Linked DNA regions of Schizosaccharomyces pombe. The protein of the gene in region 2 interacts with the protein of the main gene of each other region in a biochemical or structural test. Each region holds a gene or a part of one and is shown on either strand. Other genes may lie near its edges.

Region 1 (7,582 bases), on a different chromosome or scaffold from region 2:
TGGGTGTTGAGGTCTACCCTTCCTATGGAACTTCAAAAGGATTCTCGCTTAATTGTAGATTCGGTATTGGATACTGCTTATTATGGATTTTTGATGACTGTGATCGCATTCATAGCCGTTTCTCATTGCAGTGTAGGACATTCAGAACTGCAATCTTTTTTGCAGGAACTTCTAACAGAGGAAGAAACAACCCCTTTGCATCTGGATATTACTCGCTCGTTATCTCTTTTAGTTCGCCAAGGGTATTTAGATAGAGTGAAAGATGATACCCATAACCAGTTTGTTTATTATATTGGATCCCGTGCAGTAACTGAAATTTCTATTGAAGGCTTGAAATCATTCGTTACAGAGTTCTTTCCGGATTCAGACATTGATATGGATGCTCTATTAACCGAATATCGGCAGGAGTATCAGAATCAATCTTCCTCAAGTGCAGCATAGATGACTCTTAGGTTTTTACATTATGCTCGTCTCATGTTAATGCTATTGTATACTTACTCCGCTACTACAAAAAAATTCGTAATATTATTTAAGTTCCTATATGCGTGCTAATATCTCGATATAAATTTAAGATGTATATTTGGTTATATAGCGGGAATATTATGTACAGCTGTTAAATAAAAAAAATAAAAAAATAGCTCGTAAACTTATAAGAGAAGTATATGTCAGTATATATAATATAATTAATAAAGGTTTCATCATTACAAAATCATTTAACTTCATGCGGCGCGCAACTCATCTTCAAGGCTTGCAATGCGATCTCGTAAAGCTCTCACATCTATTAACGAATCTTTGTTCACTTTTTCCAAAGAAGCAATTCGTTTTTGTAACTCCTGCTCACGTTTTTCATATTGTACTTGAACGGAAAACATTTTTGCCTTTTCGCTATTTATTTGATCCTTCAGAGCTTTCAATTCAATAGCATGAGCCAAGTTGACATGTTGCAAAGATTGGCCAGTAGGTTGAGGTGATACTTCGGCCCCTTTTAACTCATTAACTTGCTTCTCTAAGTTGTGCTTCTCAAGATTAAGACGGTCGTAGTCTCGTTTCAAGTTCTCGTATAACGCTTGATTTGCATTTCTTTGCTGTAAATCAAAAATTGTCTTTCGTTGTGGAATATTTTTCAAAACGGGTTCCGTAGTTTTGACAGCCGGTATATTATTCTCCTTTCCGGACGGTCTATGTTCTTTAAGGCGATGTATCTCTGCCTCTCGCTTCTTGCAGGAATCAAGAGCAGAATTCAGTTCCTTTCGAGTATCAACCAGCTTCATTTCTACTTCTGAAAGCTTACTACGTATACTTTCATGATCAGCAACTTTGTTCCTTAAAAGGGTGACTTCCGAACGGAGGCTTCTAGTTGTTTTTACTTCTTCTAGTACCTTTTGATACTCAACTTCAAGCTTTCGTTTACTCTCCAACTCTGATTTCAAAGAGCGTAATTCTTCGTTATCTCGACTAGCTATCAATGCTTTACGCTTTTCATCTTCAAAGGTCTTACCGAGTTGACTGTACTCGTGCATTAAGTTAGTAATCTTCCTCTCAAGTTCGGGAACCTTAGATGCTTTTGGAGAAAGTTCATTTACTTGCTTCGTCAAACTCGATACCTTATTAGAGAGATCTTTATTCTCGGAGCTCGCCAACGAAAGCTTTTCCTTGTAGGACGCCGATTGCCGAAGAAGACTTTCATGATTAAAGGTCAAATCACGATGTTTTTTCGAAAGTTCCTGAAAGTTTGTATCGACGTCTTTTAACCCCTCCAAGTCCAGCTGAAGTCCTTCATATTTTTTCTTGTAATTCTCCAAGTCGCTAACTTTAAGAAGTAAATTCTCATGGATTTCTTGCAATTCAATGTACTTTAAAGAAGCATCTGACAAATTTTGGCATTTCTCTTCCTTATTTTCAAGCTCTTTCGTTAACGATTTGATGTTATTTAAACATTCTTTAACTTTGGCTTCCAGTTCTTTATTTTTGGTAGCCTGGAGCTGATAAAGTTGATCTTTGTCATTCAAGGATTCTAGTTCTTTCTTCAATTTCGGAAGCTGTTTGACATCGGCTTCCAAATAATTAACCTTCTCTTCTAAGTTATTTATTGTTAACTCTTGCACTCCTTTCAAGACGCTTAACTCTTCTTTCTGCTGTTTTAAAATAGAGACGTCGCTTATAAGAGTAGAATTTTCACGTTCTAATTTTTTGACTCGTTTGAGACTCTCAGATAAAGAACCTTCCTGCTGAATACTCTTTTCATTCATCTTCTGATTTGTCAGTCTCATTTCTTGAATTTCAGTTTTATAGTCAGAAATATATTTAGTGAGTTTATCAAGTTCAGCATCCTTGGTAACGATAGTTTCCTGTAAACTTTTACATTGTTCATTGAACTCTGCTTTTTCTGATAAAACAGTTGCATTGTTCTCACGTAAAGACTCAAGTTCTCCCTTTGTATCTAGCAAATCCTTCTCTTCCAAACTCAGTTTTTCTTTCAGTTCGTTCTGTTCTGATAACAAAGTCTCAACCTTGGAAGTTTTTTCTAGTAACTCACTTTCTAATTCGTTATTAATCTGTTTCAATGACGCTGACTCTCGTTGCAAATTTTCATTTTGCTGTTTTGTTTCGCTAAACGAATCTTCTATGTTTGCAAGCCTTTCCTGTGTTCGACGTAATATTTCCTCCTTATCAAGGGCTATCGCACGTTCAGTAGTAAGCAAATTTTCAACAGCAGTTAAAGAATTGTTGGTCTCGACGAGATCACGCTCTACCTCAGATTTTGAATTCTGTTGTTTTTTCAGCTCGTACTTCAGCTCTATGATTTCAGCATCTCGCTTTTTAAGCTGCTTATCATTTTGAGTACTACTTAATAAGGGCCTTAGATTGAAAAATAACTTAGCCCAAGGAAAAGTTCTAAATTCATTGTACACTTGCAAATTTGCTTGTAGTAATTTGATGGCTTGTATGTCCTTCAATCGCTTTTGAAAAATTTTTCTTTGAAGAAAGCCACGGATCCTTGTTTGTAGCATAGTCATCAGTCTTTGTAAAGTCGCTACGCGCCTCTCCTCTAATTCTGCTAAAACACCTGCTTTGAAAAATATTTTTGAAACACCAATTCGATAAGATGCTTCGTCAATTTTCAACTCCTCCAAAATCATGACAGAAGCACGTCGAGATTCCACATAGGTACCTGTTGGTAAATGCGCCATTATCTCATATCTGACTCTAAAATCATTAAATGGTAAACGGTTAGGAAAACCAGCCCTTGTGATTCTGATTCCTTCCAAAACACCATTACATCGAAGTTGTCCTAAAACGAGGGGTCTATTAAAGGTGTGCATTTTCTTTTCTTCGTTTGGAACAATACAACGAATAAAGTGAGGTTGGGTCGAGTTAAATTGATTCATAAGCTGATTGAGCTGCTCTTTATGCCTTTGAGCAACAGTTCGAAAAAGGCCCTTTTTCGTCCTTCCCCTAACAGTTTTAGTCTCAGTTTCCTGATAATCAGAAAATAGTGTAGCGACATGCTTGTTAGTAGATTGCGCAAGCAACTTAGCAACGTTTTCATTCAAAGGATCGGTGTTCTTCTCCAGCCAACCTTCTGTACTGTAAGGAACATCAGCGGCATAATGAGTCAAAATAAAACCTTGATCGGCAAACTTAAAAGGTTTATATTTTAGCGACTTGTTCCTCCAAAGAGCATCAAGTTTAGAAGTAAACGTAGCATCAGTTGCTTTCGGCATAACACATTCTTCATCCAAACATGAAAGAATACCTATTGGGTTTGCTTTCTCGATTAAATCAATAGTCGGCTGTAAATCATGTCCAAAATCAATGAAATCCCATACAATTTCTTCTTTCATATATTCTTCTTGCTCCAATACGAACATGTGATGGTTAAAGAATTGTTGCAACTTTTCATTTGTGTAATTAATGCAAAGTTGTTCAAAACTGTTTTTCTCAAAGATTTCGAAACCGGCGATATCTAAAATACCAATAAAGTAGCTTTGGGCATTGGAATGGTTCAAGGAAGTGTTAAGTCGCTTTACCAGCCATCCAAAATTCCTTTCGTATATGGCTTTTGCTAATGCTTCAATGGACGAAATGACTTGAGTTTGACTTCGAGCGCTGATAACCCATTCATGGCCTGCTTTAATACGAGGTCGAACAAGATTTTGTGAAAATAACTCCGGAGACACACCAAGCAAATGACAGAGCTTGTCAATCTCATCAGGATTGAGAAGACGAGCTATACCAGAGCGATCAGCACCGACATCAATATTTCCCATATGTAGAATAATGGAAAGTATATTAAATAAATCAAAGTTCTCTTTATCGTCAAATCCAAGAGTTTTAAAAGCAGCTAAAAGAGTTTTAAACTCTTCTTTATCGTCAACTCCATCAATAATGTGAACCGAATCCTTCAAATATCGATAATCATTACAGTTATCGGTTAAAAGAAGTTTGTTCTTGAGAGCAGTATCAGCACCACTTAAAAGCTGATAAAAAACATGGTAGTTTCTTTCAAACTCGTTCTGATGAACAACGCGAGATTTTTCAAGAAGATACCATTCTATGGCGGCATTCGAAATTTCCCCACTCAAAGAAAACTCAACTTTAATGAATTTTCCAAAACGAGAAGAATTGTTGTTGCGTACGGTACGAGCATTACCAAATGATTCGAGCACAGGATTCGTTTTAATGATCTGCTCTTCAACCTGACTAGAGCCAACGGTAGTCGAGCTAGCAATTGCTGCAAGATATTGGATGATTCTTTTGGTATTCTCTGTTTTACCTGCGCCGGACTCACCAGTTACAAGAATCGATTGATTTTCCTTATTTTCTAAAAGGTTATTGTATGCTAAATCCGCGATTGCGAAGACATGAGGTAGCTTGCGCTCTTGTGTTTTATCTTTGTACAATTGAATGATGTCCTTCGTATAGATTGGTAGTCCACAATAAGGATTGACCGCAACGAGAAAGAGCCCAGAATAGGTATAAATTTGATCAGAGAGATATCTCTGTTCAAGATTGTATGTGACTGCAGGCTCGTTTAAGTATGTCAACTCAGCCATGTCATTGACTCTATCAAACTTGGCAGGATTCACCGGATCAATTTCATCCTCACCAACGATCTTCTCATCCCTGGAATTATTATACCGAACAACATATTTCTTGTCTGGCAGATCCTCTTTAATCCAAGCCTTGGTAAAGGCAGTCTCTGGGTCGGAAATCCAAACCCATCGTTTATCATCAATATCCTTCAGACTAGTTGCACCATCTTTTGCAGTTATTTTATTAGATATTACTTCTGTCATCGGGCTACTCTCTAAGACGGTTATTTACCGCCTTTCCTGAAAATAAACAATGCGGTGTACAATACCAAAACCTTGTAAAACAATAAGGATAGACCAAAAATCAAAGAGTGAAAAAATCCAAAAAGATAGCAATAGATATATCCGAAAAGAAGGATCAACAAATGCACAGAGAAAACGTTAAAGAACTATGTTGTTGGATACTTTTTGTACTCCCCGTTGAACGCACAGCAATTAATGATTTAAGCACTTGAACATTCGATTAACGCATGCGTTAATCGAACGTTTATGTACTTGATCATATTTGCGTTAAAACATTTAGTATAGGTTAAGGTAGCATCCAGAAACATTCCTATAACATAATGATTTTAATATCACAATTAAGAAGGTATATATATCTTTTAAAAGAAATAATATTAATAGATGGAGGTCATTATATACTCGGTCTTTTGCAATTAAAGTCCTGACAAATTTTTAAAGCTTTACTTTCATCAAGATTGAAGATATTAAGTAATAATTGAAAATACATTGTACTAATACTCAAAACATCAAATGAACGTAGGATTAGGGGTTACGGTTTAATCGAAATTTCATGTTCCCCCGTGCTTTTAGGTAAAATGATTGTATAAAAAACTCCCGCTATTACAGATATATGAGTAATTTGTGACTAGATACGCAAATAATATGTTCCTCATCGTACCGAACACAACTTTTAAAGCAAATAACTAAACTCGGCATTTATTTATCTACATTTTATATATAGCACTCTAATCATGCCTCTTACTGAATAATTATAAGAACACGCTCTAGCTAATAATCGCAATCAGTAATTATTATGTGCTTACTGACCATCTACAGCTATGGCCCTGGTAATAATCAATAAGTAAATATACAGAAATGTTAGTTGCTTCAGTTAGTGTTTGAAAGAAAGCATGGTGCTTCAATGTGTAACCACATCTTTAAACTTATGATCAAAACATGCAGAATACCATAACCAGTTACGTAAAAAAACAACAATGTTCTCTGTTTTCATCAACTGTAGTCGGCAAGTTTATGCAACTTGTACAATAAGCCAATTTTGGCTTAACACTGAACATAATGATAGTAGCGATCATTTTAAGTAATTAAAAAATGTTAATGCATGCAGATTTTAATATTCCTTTGTGATAAAATGGGTAGGGAAATGTAAAAAAAAAAAAAAAGAAGAAATAAAATTTCAAGGCTGCGATAAAATATGATTCGAAAGATGCAGGATGTTCCGTAAAACAAAATAAGATAAACGTTTCCGATATTCAAAAGTATGGATGAGTAAAAAAGACAATCATGGCAAGAAAACTTGTAATAAATATGATAATTATCAATCTTCAATTATGAAGGAGTTTGTTTTTGCCTTATTTAAAGCGAGTATCAAATGGCGATCGTGATACTGAGGATGAACCATGCCAAACATTATATATTTCCCATTGGCTAGCCAATCACTGTTACTAGGGTAGTATTTAATGTCATTTCCTTGGATAATTTGATTAAGTTTCCTAGTTCGCGTGTTCCATATTTCGACAAATTCATCATTAAATGCAATGAGATATCCATGACAGCTGGTAACAGAGTTCGGTTTGCCAATCCAATCAAACCAACACTCTTTATTAACCATACTACCCTCTCCATTGACAAACACGGCACCGAATTGATAGCAGCATGCAAATAAGCTAGGATCGTGGATGCGAAAGACGCCAAGCGGCTTACTGTTGTTGATTCGGTTCCGAAACAACGTATCATTAAGCACTGAAGGGCTTGGAAAACCAACTGCTAATTTAGGGTCCAAACGCAGAACGTCAATGCCTTTATTGTGACAAAGAGCAATTGAATACTTAAAGCAATCAATTGAATGACAGTTAGCCGTTACGTGAAAATCATCCAGAGTTCTGAAGGAAGTAACATCTTTTCTCTTGAAGGCATATGTTTTCTGATAGTTATGTCCTAAGCCGATCACTGGTTCACAGCAAATTATGGTTGTAGTATTACCGAGTCCCTCTTTATAAAAAACCAAAGTTCGCTCACGTTTAACAGAAGCCCCCTCAGACAATTTACCTATTTTAAAGAATGATACGGCATGCGGAGTTCCAATGACAACTGCAATTTTGGATTCGATCAGACCCATTTCAATAATACGACTTAATTTATGAGCATAAAGGGTTTTGTCACGTAGCTCTAATAGGATATCAAATTCCTCAACAACTCCAAGCTGGGTAACGCGTCTTTGACTAGAGATCTTTTTCCAATCGCGA
Region 2 (4,420 bases):
TTTTTCATCAACATCATTTAACGTTCGTTTTAATGCGTCTATACTCTGTCACGAGTTCAGGCACCGGGTCTTGGCCATCCTTTTTCATACATGTTCTGCAAATTTCGATGGATCTTTTCTTTCCATGTTTCAGCAGCAACTTATTTTATTTAATATGGTTAACATTTTTCTCTTATTCTTTGAACAATGGTTTTAATATTATCATAATACTACAAAAAAAAATAATAATCTCTTGTAATAATATATGTTGACGAAACAATTCTAAATAAAGTCATAGGAATGTAATATCATTGGATTTGTTTATACAGAGAGGCGTCGTCAGTCCAAATTACTTTGTCACTATATATTAATCGCTCAACTATACAACTGGCTAATCGGGCTCCATCTCCTACAGCTTCATAATTCACTACTTCCTCTCTTTTTATATTTGAAGAACACTAATCATACCAATGTCTTACAATTTATAAGAATTTTACCTCAACTATACTATCCAACAATGATCATATACCATGTATGTATTAAATCTTTTTTTGACCTAATAAACTTTTGCTAATACTAATGTAAAACACATTCAACCATTTGGCTTCAAAGTTATACAAGTTCAGGTACCAATTAAATCAGTACTGAAGATGATACAACTCTACAGGACGAAAAGAAATGGCTGATGAAGTACATTGCACCACTTCCGCTTCTAACTATCTCGCAGTTACCACCTTGTACAAAATAAAATTCGTAAAAATTAACGGGAGTAAGTAAAATTCATTTACTACAGTTCTTTAATCGATAATCACAGCGATAAACATAACGAAAATATCGACAAAAATAATCGGCCGGACTCGAGAAGAAACATGTTAAAGAAAACGGGAAGTTATAAGCGAATGAAGTAACATCATAGGTATCTACTGGAAATATTTCTGTAACTTCAATATGTAAAAGGCTAGCTCTGCATTCGTCTATAATGAAAAAAAGAAAACAGAGCAAGAAAACGATAGTAATCAGAAAGTATATAAAACACTCCAATAATTGATACCCAAAGTTCCTCATGAGATGTTAAGAGCGGAAAAAGGTGGTTAAATAGGTAAAAAAAGATTGAAATTTATATATATCAGAAGAATCGATGTTATTCAAAAGTATGTAAAAAACGTTACAAAAAGTAAGAGGAGCTTAGAAGCACTTACGGTAAACGATACCAGGTCCGCTCTCATCATACTCTTGCTTGGAGATCCACATCTGTTGGAAAGTAGAAAGAGAAGCAAGAATGGATCCACCAATCCAGACAGAGTATTTACGCTCAGGAGGAGCAACAATCTTGACCTTCATGGAGCTAGGAGCAAGGGCTTGAATCTCCTTTTGCATACGATCGGCAATACCGGGATACATAGTGGTACCACCAGACATAACAACGTTACCGTACAAATCTTTACGAATATCAACATCACATTTCATGATAGAGTTGTAAGTAGCCTCATGAATACCGGCGTTTTCAAGACCCAAAGCTGAGGGTTGGAAAAGAGCTTCAGGGGCACGGAAACGCTCGTTTCCGATAGTGATAACTTGACCATCAGGAAGCTCATAAGATTTCTCAAGGGAGGAAGATTGAGCAGCAGTTTGAAGTTCTTGCTCAAAGTCCAAAGCGACGTAGCAAAGTTTCTCCTTGATGTCACGAACAATTTCACGTTCGGCGGTAGTAGAGAAAGTATAACCACGCTCCATGAGAATCTTCATAAGGTAGTCAGTCAAGTCACGACCGGCGAGATCAAGACGCATGATAGCATGAGGAAGAGCATAACCCTCATAAATGGGAACAGTGTGGGTAACACCATCACCAGAGTCCAAGACGATACCAGTGGTACGACCAGAGGCATACAAAGACAAAACAGCTTGAATAGCAACATAAAAGGCAGGTGCATTAAAGGTTTCGAAAATAATTTGAGTCATCTTCTCACGGTTGGATTTGGGGTTCAAAGGAGCCTCAGTCAACAAGCAAGGGTGCTCCTCAGGAGCAACACGAAGCTCGTTGTAGAAAGTGTGATGCCAAATCTTTTCCATATCATCCCAGTTGTTGACAATACCGTGCTCAATGGGGTACTTCAAGGTCAAAATACCACGCTTGCTTTGAGCTTCATCACCAACGTAGGAATCCTTTTGTCCCATACCTACCATAATACCATGGTGACGGGGTCTACCGACAATCGAGGGGAATACAGCTCTAGGGGCATCATCTCCAGCGAAACCGGCTTTGCACATACCAGAGCCATTATCAATAACCAACGCTGCGATTTCTTCTTCCATGGTCTTGTCTTTTGAGGGTTTTTTGGTTCGTTACAAAAAATGTAGTTGGTAAACGGTAAGTTATAACACGGCTGGCTGAGGTGGTATGAAGCCGTTGATTACATATAGATAAGATACACAGTTATACAGTGAAAATCTCTTATATATTTTAAAATATACATTTAAGTATAATGGGTGTTTAAATATGTATGAAATTGCTATATTTGAGCCACTTTTTTGATAAAGCCACACACAGCGTTAGCACTTCACGGCAGAATGCGCACGGAAGAAGACCGCGGAAACGGATAACATTGAGCAACCGGTTGTAGTACTGTAAGCGATATAGCAAATCCTTTAAAAGCTCTTATAAACATATAAGGAAATATAATTTCCGCGTTATTTAACTTGAAAAGCAAAAAACAAAAGAAAATGAAAGTTCACGATATCGAATATAAAAGAGATGGTCATAAAAATCTTATCAAAATTCACAGACAAATCTTCAAAGGTATTTCAAGTATTTGCAACTCGCGTGTCCCTATTTTATTAGTATTCATTCGACATTGTTATGATCAATAATTTAACACTAGCAAAAAAAAAGGTAATTTTTTTTTATCAAATGGCTATTAAATTACATCTAATTAAAAATTTCTCTTGATACAATGTATTATAGTTGGGTTGAATCGTATACTATAAAAATAATTAGTGATCAAAAGAATGAATATTAGTTTTAATCAAAGATAGATAAAAGTATAAGAATAATCATTAACATAAAAATTAAGATGTCATAAAATAAAAGAAAAATTCAGTAAAAACAACCCAAACACCGTCTCATTATCGTAGATCAAACACTAAAGAGCAAGCTGACTTTTACGATAGTGATAGAGCAATCCTCCAACAGCTACAAATTGACATATTAGTGCAATATAAAAGCAAGGTGATGCACAAGGTCCCGGTCCTTCGCTAGGATTCCATGCACCAAGATTTGGGAATACTCGATCACTTACAGGCAGAGAAGGTTTTGCGATCATAATTGTAATACAACTTATAACTTGCGCTAGCATCAACGTGAAAGCAACATGATCTCTCGCCAGGGTTTGCAGTAACATTACACCGACACCGACTCCCTGTATCCCGTCCCATAGAGCTAGCAAAAGCCATACTGACTTCGTCAGCAAGGCAGAAGCCTTACCAGCCCATGGTAAATTAATTCCGAGACCCGAGGATGACCAAAACTCTAAGCACCAGCGTGGACAAATGAGGCCCAATCCAAATATCACTGGAAACCAAACGTTATTAAGAGACAAAATCTTTATAACTGATAAGAGAACGGCCCAAACCACGATGAAGAAAATGAGTAAAAGAATGATTATGCTCCACAAAGGAGTGTTGCTAGTATTCCAGAAAAACCTCCAAGCCTGGCCATAAGGGACAGCAAGCCAGTAATTGATTAAAATTTGAGAGATAAAAAACCAAATTACAATATTTCGTTTTCCTAATGAACGATAAAACGCTGGAATGATAGAAGGAGCTTGGCGATAAAAAGCAGGTAAACCTGCGAATGTTACGTAGGAAAGCCCGAAGCAAATGAAAGAGGCGATAAGTCCCCCTGCAAAAATGCCAGGCCCCACATTTTGAGTCAAATCTTTCTTCGATAATAGATCTCCCCATGACCAGAGGATTGCAGACCAAATCTGTTGAATCCCATGTACAAGACAGGCCCTCAAAATCCAATGATGAGTTGCGATACCTCCTTCGGCACCAAAATTCCATGCAAAATACAGCGATCCAGTAGAACTTGAAATGGCATAAACGTAAGCCGCTATGTGTTGAATTACCGAACAAGCAGTAGTTTTCTGGAAAAAGTGAGTGATCGCAACTAAAATGAAAGATATGCCAAAAAAGAAGAAAGGGAGAGATAAAATGTATCTCGCTTGAACCACTCGGGATAAGAACCACCAAAACAGAGAGAAGAATGAGAAAATAGAGAGCAGAATGTACATGGACACTGTAGATTGCGCAGATTCTCCAGAAAGTAAAGTTAATTGATAAGAAGATGCTCCAAGAATTTGCCCAATTGCCAATACAATCGTATATAGAGGCCATCCACCAATACTGTGAAGAAGTAATTTTTGTAACCGAGTAGCTTCAT
Region 3 (3,417 bases), on a different chromosome or scaffold from region 2:
TTAATGTTCTTTGCATACCAATGTTTGATTGTGCCCCAGTGTAAATTTGCTTACTTTATTGATTATAATAACAATAAAAGCAGCAATTCACTTACATTTGATCAATAACAGATCAAGTAGACTAGTACGTTGAAAATAGCTGGTAAAATACATGCTATGTGATCAATGAGCAAACTAATGAAAACATCATTTTAAAATGATAGCGAATGAACAGCAATTGTTATATTAATATGGAATGGCATTACTTTGTAGATCGTTGGATTTCGTAATTTGTTAATTAGCATTTTTAGGAATGCAGAATCATTATATATAGAGGAATATTTGTAACAATTTCAATGACTAAATAGTGGTAGATGAAATCTACAGAATTAAAAAGTCGGAACTGAGAAAATAAAACTAAGCTTACTTACTATACCATACTTGAAGTAGATGAATAAAAACCTGCAAGCACCCAGGCACTCAAACATTTCAGCTAGTGGTGGAAACTGCGTAGAACTAATTTCTCTATGATTGCTTGTCAATTACATTGGCAAATAACTTGCAGTGTTTTTCATATACCGACTCATCCGTTATCACATGACAAATTTTTTAAAGTAGATATACTATTGACAAATTAAATATCAACAGGAAACCAACGTACACTTAAATCTTTGTATTTATAGTTCTAAATATATAGAAAAAGATATTTAAGGAGCGTTGAAGGATCGGTTTGCATACCGAAACGAAGTTATTTAATTTCATTTCGTATTACGCATGAGTCAAGAAATCGTAACCAAAAGTGTTTTACTTACGAGTAACCTTCTCAAGAACTGTCTCATAAGCAACTTCGGAGAAATCAGTTGCTTGGATGTCAGTACCGATTCCAGTAAAAGCGCGACGTAAAGTATCTTTAGAAGAAGAGTAAACCATCTTAGATTTAATGGGAGCAACATCAGGAGACCAGCTAATAAAGATAATCTTGTTACGAACACCTTCTCCGAGATTGAACTCAAAATCATAGATAGCATAACGGCAATCCTTTTCAGGCAAGTCACCAAGGAAAGTATCGAAGTCCTTATCCGTACTCTTCTTTTCAACAACAATTTCAGCTAAACAAAAAAAAATTAGTGAAAGGTTCCACATAATTATAAAAACGACATAGAAAGACATTACAAACATAAAATATATATCAATGTAGATAAATAAATTTATTTTTAAAAAAAGGGATATTGGACTTTCTCAAATTCCATCTAAATCGTTTTCGTCACTTACTCTTGGTATCGTTCATTTTGAAAACTACGTAACGGAGTGACTTTCCAAGCTTGAGCTCTTGGAAAGCTTCCAAGCATTCGGGAGAGACTTTGACACCTGAAAAAGACTAATGTATGTTAAATAAACACGATGTAAAGTTAACAAAAATATTTCATACCATATTATTTATTTACTGATAGCGGGTAAGCTAGTGTGGTTGGCACTGGTTTGGTTAGGGGAGGGCTACTCGCATCAGTAGATACCGTCGCCCCAAGTAAGGGTGGCGCACTACTCTAAACAAGCAGAGTCTATAATTTCTTATTATTATGTTGCATGACCCTTATTAAATATAAGCGAAAAAACATACAGTTCTACAAAAAAATAATAGCAAATGGTTATGCGTATGCACTACCGCCTAAATATTCCACACTAATTTATATATCTAGCAAGTGAGTGAACTAATGCAAAAAAAAATTTAACTGTAAATGGATCGCTATGAAGAAACAAGATGATTGTTACTATTTATTAGCTATTCCTTACGCTATTTCCAAAAATCTTTATGCAAAAAGACTTGGAAGTTAATAATTTTTAAGTCTAGAAATAGATTGTATAAAAAACGGTCAGAGCTGCTTACTTTGTTCGTTCATAACTTAAGGAATGTTCCAGCTACTCAATCAAATTTGAGAACTTTCACAAAAATTAACTGAATTTTAAAGTAGAAAAACACTTCAAGTGGAATTTTGAATAGCCAATTTATTAAGTAAAGAAGGGACTAAAAAGACATTTCTAAAATATATAGGGAATAAATAAGTAAGGGCATATACGGCAATACTCATCGAAATCAGCCCCATACTTAGCTTTGCACTTTTTAATATCACGTGAAACACGATGCACAAGGACTACAAAGAAAAAGCATGGGTAAAAGTAAGGTAGAGGGGACTGAAAACCGGTGATCAATGCCCATGACAATGATTGAAAGAAATCAGCAGTATAATGAATTTTACGAGCGTACCTATACCAACCTGAAGTCAACAAAGTACCGCCATTTGCACAACGAATAAAGGTAGGGTTCTTGATGATAAGCCAGGGAAGTTGGGGAAATGTTTTGCGATGAACCTCAGTACCATAAATTTGATTACGGAAATGATTTTTTTGACCATTGCAAGTATCAAATATATAATAACAGCAAAGAAGCAAAACATAAATACCGGTTGTATATTGAGTTGACCAGTTGTAAACAGATGGATCATGCGAAAAAAGGTAAAGGGTGCAGTGTGAATAAGTAAATGGGACCCCAGCCATGTTCCAAAAGATAAGCATAAAACCAAACTTTTCATAAGCCATGTCCCAAGTTGGAACAATCAACTGCTCTCCCTTCGAGCACGCGTTTGCATACAAATAATGGCCAAGACAAACGAAAAGTACCTGAGGACTTACAGTGCCATAAGTTTCATATTGACGAACAGCAGCACCAACGGAAATAAAGAATAGGATAAACCAAGGGATACGAACTTCAAAGAACATTTTAAAATCAAGCAATTTGCCAAGGCGAGGATTCAAGCAAGCTCCCATAAAGGCATCGTAGATGGGATTTCCAGATAACCGATGAGGTTTATCAAAAAGTCGATCACCAAAAAGCAAAGTTCCAGTGTACAAAACAAAGGTACAGACAAAAGCGGTTATTATTGCAACGCTCATCAAAGGACCGAACATGTCGATAAATGTAGTAATTGGAAATACGTGGGTCACGTGAAGAACGGCAAGAATAACAATTGTCGTGTAAAAAGACCAGATAGCATTGCATAAGTAAGGAAGACGTTCGTTATTGCGATGCTTTAAAGGCAAACCTTGCGTCCGAACACCAGGAAGAGTTAAGTACATGACAGCCTGAACTATACAAAACGACCAAAAAACCAAGAATGCATACCGTGTTGGATAGGCACCGACGTAGATATAATGGCCTAACGTTCTAAAAAAATTTTGAAATCCTGCTATCGTAAAAGATTCTGGTTTAATAAACTGCGAATCATTAAATTTGGAGCATGCCCATAAGTAATACATTAGACAAGGGAATCCTGTCATAATTGCCAATGCACCTTTGGCACCGCCAAACTCACGAGGAGCTGATTTCTTTACTGTAGATTTCATCGCGAATTCTATCTACTTCACACAACGTGTCTATAAAAA
Region 4 (3,579 bases), on a different chromosome or scaffold from region 2:
GCTCTTTGGTAGTTGACAAGCCGACGGTAAGTCTACATTAACCAAAGTAGCACATTAACGCAAACCCTGTACCTCGTTATTCCGATAAAGGTTTATGTAAATTTATATCAAGTAGAACATGTAAATGGCAATACATGTCAATACATTAAGATATTCTTTTTATTTACGTTAACATCTTATGTTTTTAGTTGATTCAACTTTGATTATGCTTACGATGCCTAACAATGCTCTTCAACGTGTACGGATATCGGATTTCCAAAAAAAAAATAATAAAATAAAATAAAAGGCAATTTAACAAATAGGTAAATTCATAGAAAATGTGAGTTTAACAGGTATTGTGATTCTGCAAAATAGATTGATTTTAAAAAACCCGCGCTGAAGATGAATGTCATTCATACAATAAAGTAAGACAAACCTAACTATAATGATCCCCTAACAAAAGCACGACCACTCGTTTGCACGAATTACTTTAAGGTAGACGTGTATAAACAACTTACAAAATACCGATTTCAGCCTAGCAAACTTCAATATTTACATCGTAAAAAAAAGGAAAGATAAAGACGGTATTTATCATATAGAAGTCTTTATTAAAGAGTTGGCATTCGAAAAAAAATAAAAGCTTATCATTCAGATAACATTAAGACAGTTATGCTTACAAAATGTTATTTAAGTTAGAAGGGAAAGTGGTGGGAATCGGGAAGATAAGGGCACATTTCTTCTCAATTTACAATACTCAGACATTTGATATCATAAATACTGATTCTCGTAAAAAGGTAACACCAGTAAGTTGACTAAAGAAAGAAAACAGTGTTCCATACCAAAATCAAATCATTTTTCGCTAAATATAAACCATAAAAAGTGAGGTCGAACTTAGCTAGTTGACAAAGTAAGAAAGAAAAAGAATGACAGCAAATAGAAGATATAAAAAAGGTGGTATGTTTCTTCTATGTTCGTCAAGCTTTTCGCTATCTACAAATCCTCAAGAGCTTGGTGAACTTCATCTAATTCAGCCTTGACCTTAGTATACTTGTCAGTCATTTCTTCTAGTTTCTGTTCCATATCATCACGCTCACGCTCTAGAGATTGGACGCGACGTTCAAAATGCTCAGCCTTAACATCAGTTTGACGCATCTTTTCGGTGGTTTCGCGAAGTAGCTTGTCATTAGTTTCTAGTTCTTCCTCTAAAAGCTCAACTTTACGGCTCAACTGCTCGGCTTCCGTCTTTTGAATATCTTCATTGTCGGCTTTGAGACGTAACTGCTTAGTTTCTTCTTCTAACTCTTCGAGTTGAGACTCGGCGGCTTCGCTTTTCCTCGAAAGAGACTCATATTCTTGCTCTTTAAGAGAAAGTTGAAGTTCAACTTCTTTCAACTTGGCTTCAGCTGCTTCAGCACGAGCGACAGCCTCATCAGTCTCAGCACGAGCGGCATTAATTTTCTAAATAAAAAGCAAATATTAGCAACTTGATTTTCCAATGAAAAGCTATCATCTCATACCTCTCTAAGCTTATCCATTTTCCTACTGTTTCCTTCTTTCCTTGATGGTGGAGGGAAGATACCGATGGGTGTGTTTGACATGCATATACCACGGTAAGGGTGGTGAATTAATTGACGGTACAAGAAAGTTCTATTTACTAATTTATTACAAAGAAATACACACAAGCTCTACAGTAAAGCGCTTTGTTCATCAAAGAACAAAGAAGTTGAGGCTTTGCTTACAACACACCAGATTGTTAATTTCATCAAAGAAATAAGCGTTAAAAGAGCAAAGTTAAAAACAGTAGTCAAACATTTGTAAATTATAATCGAAGTGTTCCTGCAATAGATTTTCAAGTTTGGAATGAAGTGATTTAAACAATGCCTGATTTTTGTATTTATGACTGAAATTTTAAGAGCTCTCTACTGCTAAAGAAAAATGGCATATATCAATAATATTTAATCATTTAGTTATACAATTATAAAGAGGTCCGCTTGTTAATTTCATATTTACACACATACAGACTAGGAATTAGTTGGAAACAGGTATTTAAGAAGCAATATTTTAAATGGCTATTATCATACTTCCAATTGCCAAAGTAATCATTTCATTAAGTTTCACAACATTTAGCTTACATAGGTTACGGAGTCGTAATTGCGACAAGAGAAAAGAAAGGAGAATCAATACTCTGAATATAATTTTTAATAACTGAAAGTACTTCGGCATTCAGTAAATCACTTTCAATTTCAGAATGTTGCACGGGCCCCTCTTGGCGGCCGTCTAGCTCATAAAAATGATTGTCGTCCTTTGATTTTCCCTTTACAAAACAGATAAAATGAAGATCAGTTTCTACATCTTCCTCAGACCCCTCTACTTCCAAAGGTGGACCAGCAAATGCTGCATGTAAAGCTTCAAGTTCTTTCGAATCCTCGATAAGCTTAGCCCTTTCTTCGATAGATGAACCTTCAGCAGTTCTGATTAGACTTTTAATAAAATCATTTTCATTGACTTTTCTTCTAAGTTCTCCATTCGAAACCGCATGTAGCAATCCAATCGTTCCGCAAGCATTTGGAATTGTTTGAGGGTACCACAAGACTTTGTCACTATCCTTTGGTAAAATTCGTGATCCTTTATATATAGTTTTTGTTCCTGAGGATGGAAAAACGAATAAAAGAGCATGGACAGGACGAGGGATATATTCGGGGATTTCCTCTAATGAAAACAGGTCAAAAACGCTAGCATCTTGTACACCGATTTTTTGTAAGTAAGGTTCCAGCACCTCTGGTGTATTTTCTAAAGGCCTCCACATTGTAATTTTTCTCGAATGATAAATGGCTCTAATTGAGGCTTTTTTGATCAGGTTTGGAAGGCGTGGCAGAGGTCTCAGAAGTCAGCAAAGAGGCAAAACACCAAAGTTTGACAAAGTTAATCGAATATCTTTAGATTGCCAATTTTGGGAATCTACAAAAAAGCTTTACTATAATCAGTATCCTATACTTCAATATCCTGTCACGTTCAGCTATGAAGATGACTGTAAAAATAGGGATTGTTCCATAGGTATATTATAAATAGAGTCATAAAATATTAATAATTACCAAGATTTACCTATATACATTTACTGTAAAATCTAAAATTCTGGCTTCGAAGTCCAACCAACGTTCTTATAGGTAGTGTTGAAATATTTGCACGAATAAAGATTTTTCAAAATGAAGATACTAAGAGTTAGAAGACCTTAAGTTTCTGAGAAGTTCAGCAATATAAAGCTCCACGTGCGATTTCAATTTTTCGAATTCCATAGTTATAGAGGATATTTGAGACTCCAGTTCTTCTCGCATTCCAGCAATTTTTTGTTCGGTCATCTCTATCATGGCATTTTTCTTTTCAGTCTCCTGAATCTTTTTATTCCTTTCTTGGGTAATTACTTTGTATTCTTCCCGTATGTTGTCCATTCGTTGTTTGGCAGCCTCAAGTTTTTGATTTCGAGAATGTTGTTCATGCTCGAGTTTTTCTTGAGCATTAGATAATTGCTTTAAAAGTTGTTCTTTTCTGAACTCAAGTTTTTTTTTGTTTATTTCTATTTGATCGCAAAGCTCTTGATTTGTA

The links.
Region 1: the proteins of act1 (region 2) and myo2 form a complex in vitro, tested with the Schizosaccharomyces pombe proteins (one study listed by BioGRID).
Region 3: the proteins of act1 (region 2) and adf1 form a complex in vitro, tested with the Schizosaccharomyces pombe proteins (4 studies listed by BioGRID).
Region 4: the proteins of act1 (region 2) and cdc8 form a complex in vitro, tested with the Schizosaccharomyces pombe proteins (2 studies listed by BioGRID).

What each region holds. Positions count from the first base shown.
Region 1 is NC_003421.2:1,232,731-1,240,312, forward strand, and holds myo2 (myosin II heavy chain myo2), read right to left. Parts: upstream 5,507-7,582; 5' UTR 5,301-5,506; coding exon 720-5,300; 3' UTR 501-719; downstream 1-500. Other genes in the region: Smc5-6 complex non-SMC MAGE family subunit Nse3, read left to right, coding at 1-441; RhoGEF for Rho1, Rgf3, read right to left, coding at 6,655-7,582. UniProt on the Schizosaccharomyces pombe protein: Required for cell division. It is a component of the cdc12 'spot', a structure thought to mark the site of septation. May work in conjunction with myo3.
Region 2 is NC_003423.3:1,474,985-1,479,404, forward strand, and holds act1 (actin Act1), read right to left. Parts: upstream 2,350-4,420; 5' UTR 2,293-2,349; coding exon 1,165-2,292; 3' UTR 501-1,164; downstream 1-500. Other genes in the region: spore wall alpha-1,3-glucan synthase Mok12, read right to left, coding at 3,120-4,420. UniProt on the Schizosaccharomyces pombe protein: Actins are highly conserved proteins that are involved in various types of cell motility and are ubiquitously expressed in all eukaryotic cells.
Region 3 is NC_003424.3:4,824,667-4,828,083, forward strand, and holds adf1 (cofilin), read right to left. Parts: upstream 1,461-3,417; 5' UTR 1,412-1,460; coding exon 1,409-1,411; intron 1,358-1,408; coding exon 1,252-1,357; intron 1,089-1,251; coding exon 784-1,088; 3' UTR 591-783; downstream 1-590. Other genes in the region: C-24(28) sterol reductase Erg4, read right to left, coding at 2,017-3,378. UniProt on the Schizosaccharomyces pombe protein: Controls reversibly actin polymerization and depolymerization in a pH-sensitive manner. It has the ability to bind G- and F-actin in a 1:1 ratio of cofilin to actin. Binding to F-actin is regulated by tropomyosin.
Region 4 is NC_003424.3:4,318,691-4,322,269, forward strand, and holds cdc8 (tropomyosin), read right to left. Parts: upstream 1,546-3,579; 5' UTR 1,515-1,545; coding exon 1,497-1,514; exon of another isoform or gene 1,483-1,496; intron 1,438-1,482; coding exon 970-1,437; 3' UTR 557-969; downstream 1-556. Other genes in the region: ubiquitin hydrolase Uch1, read right to left, coding at 2,117-2,785; protein Nuf2, read right to left, coding at 3,192-3,579. UniProt on the Schizosaccharomyces pombe protein: Forms part of the F-actin contractile ring during cytokinesis.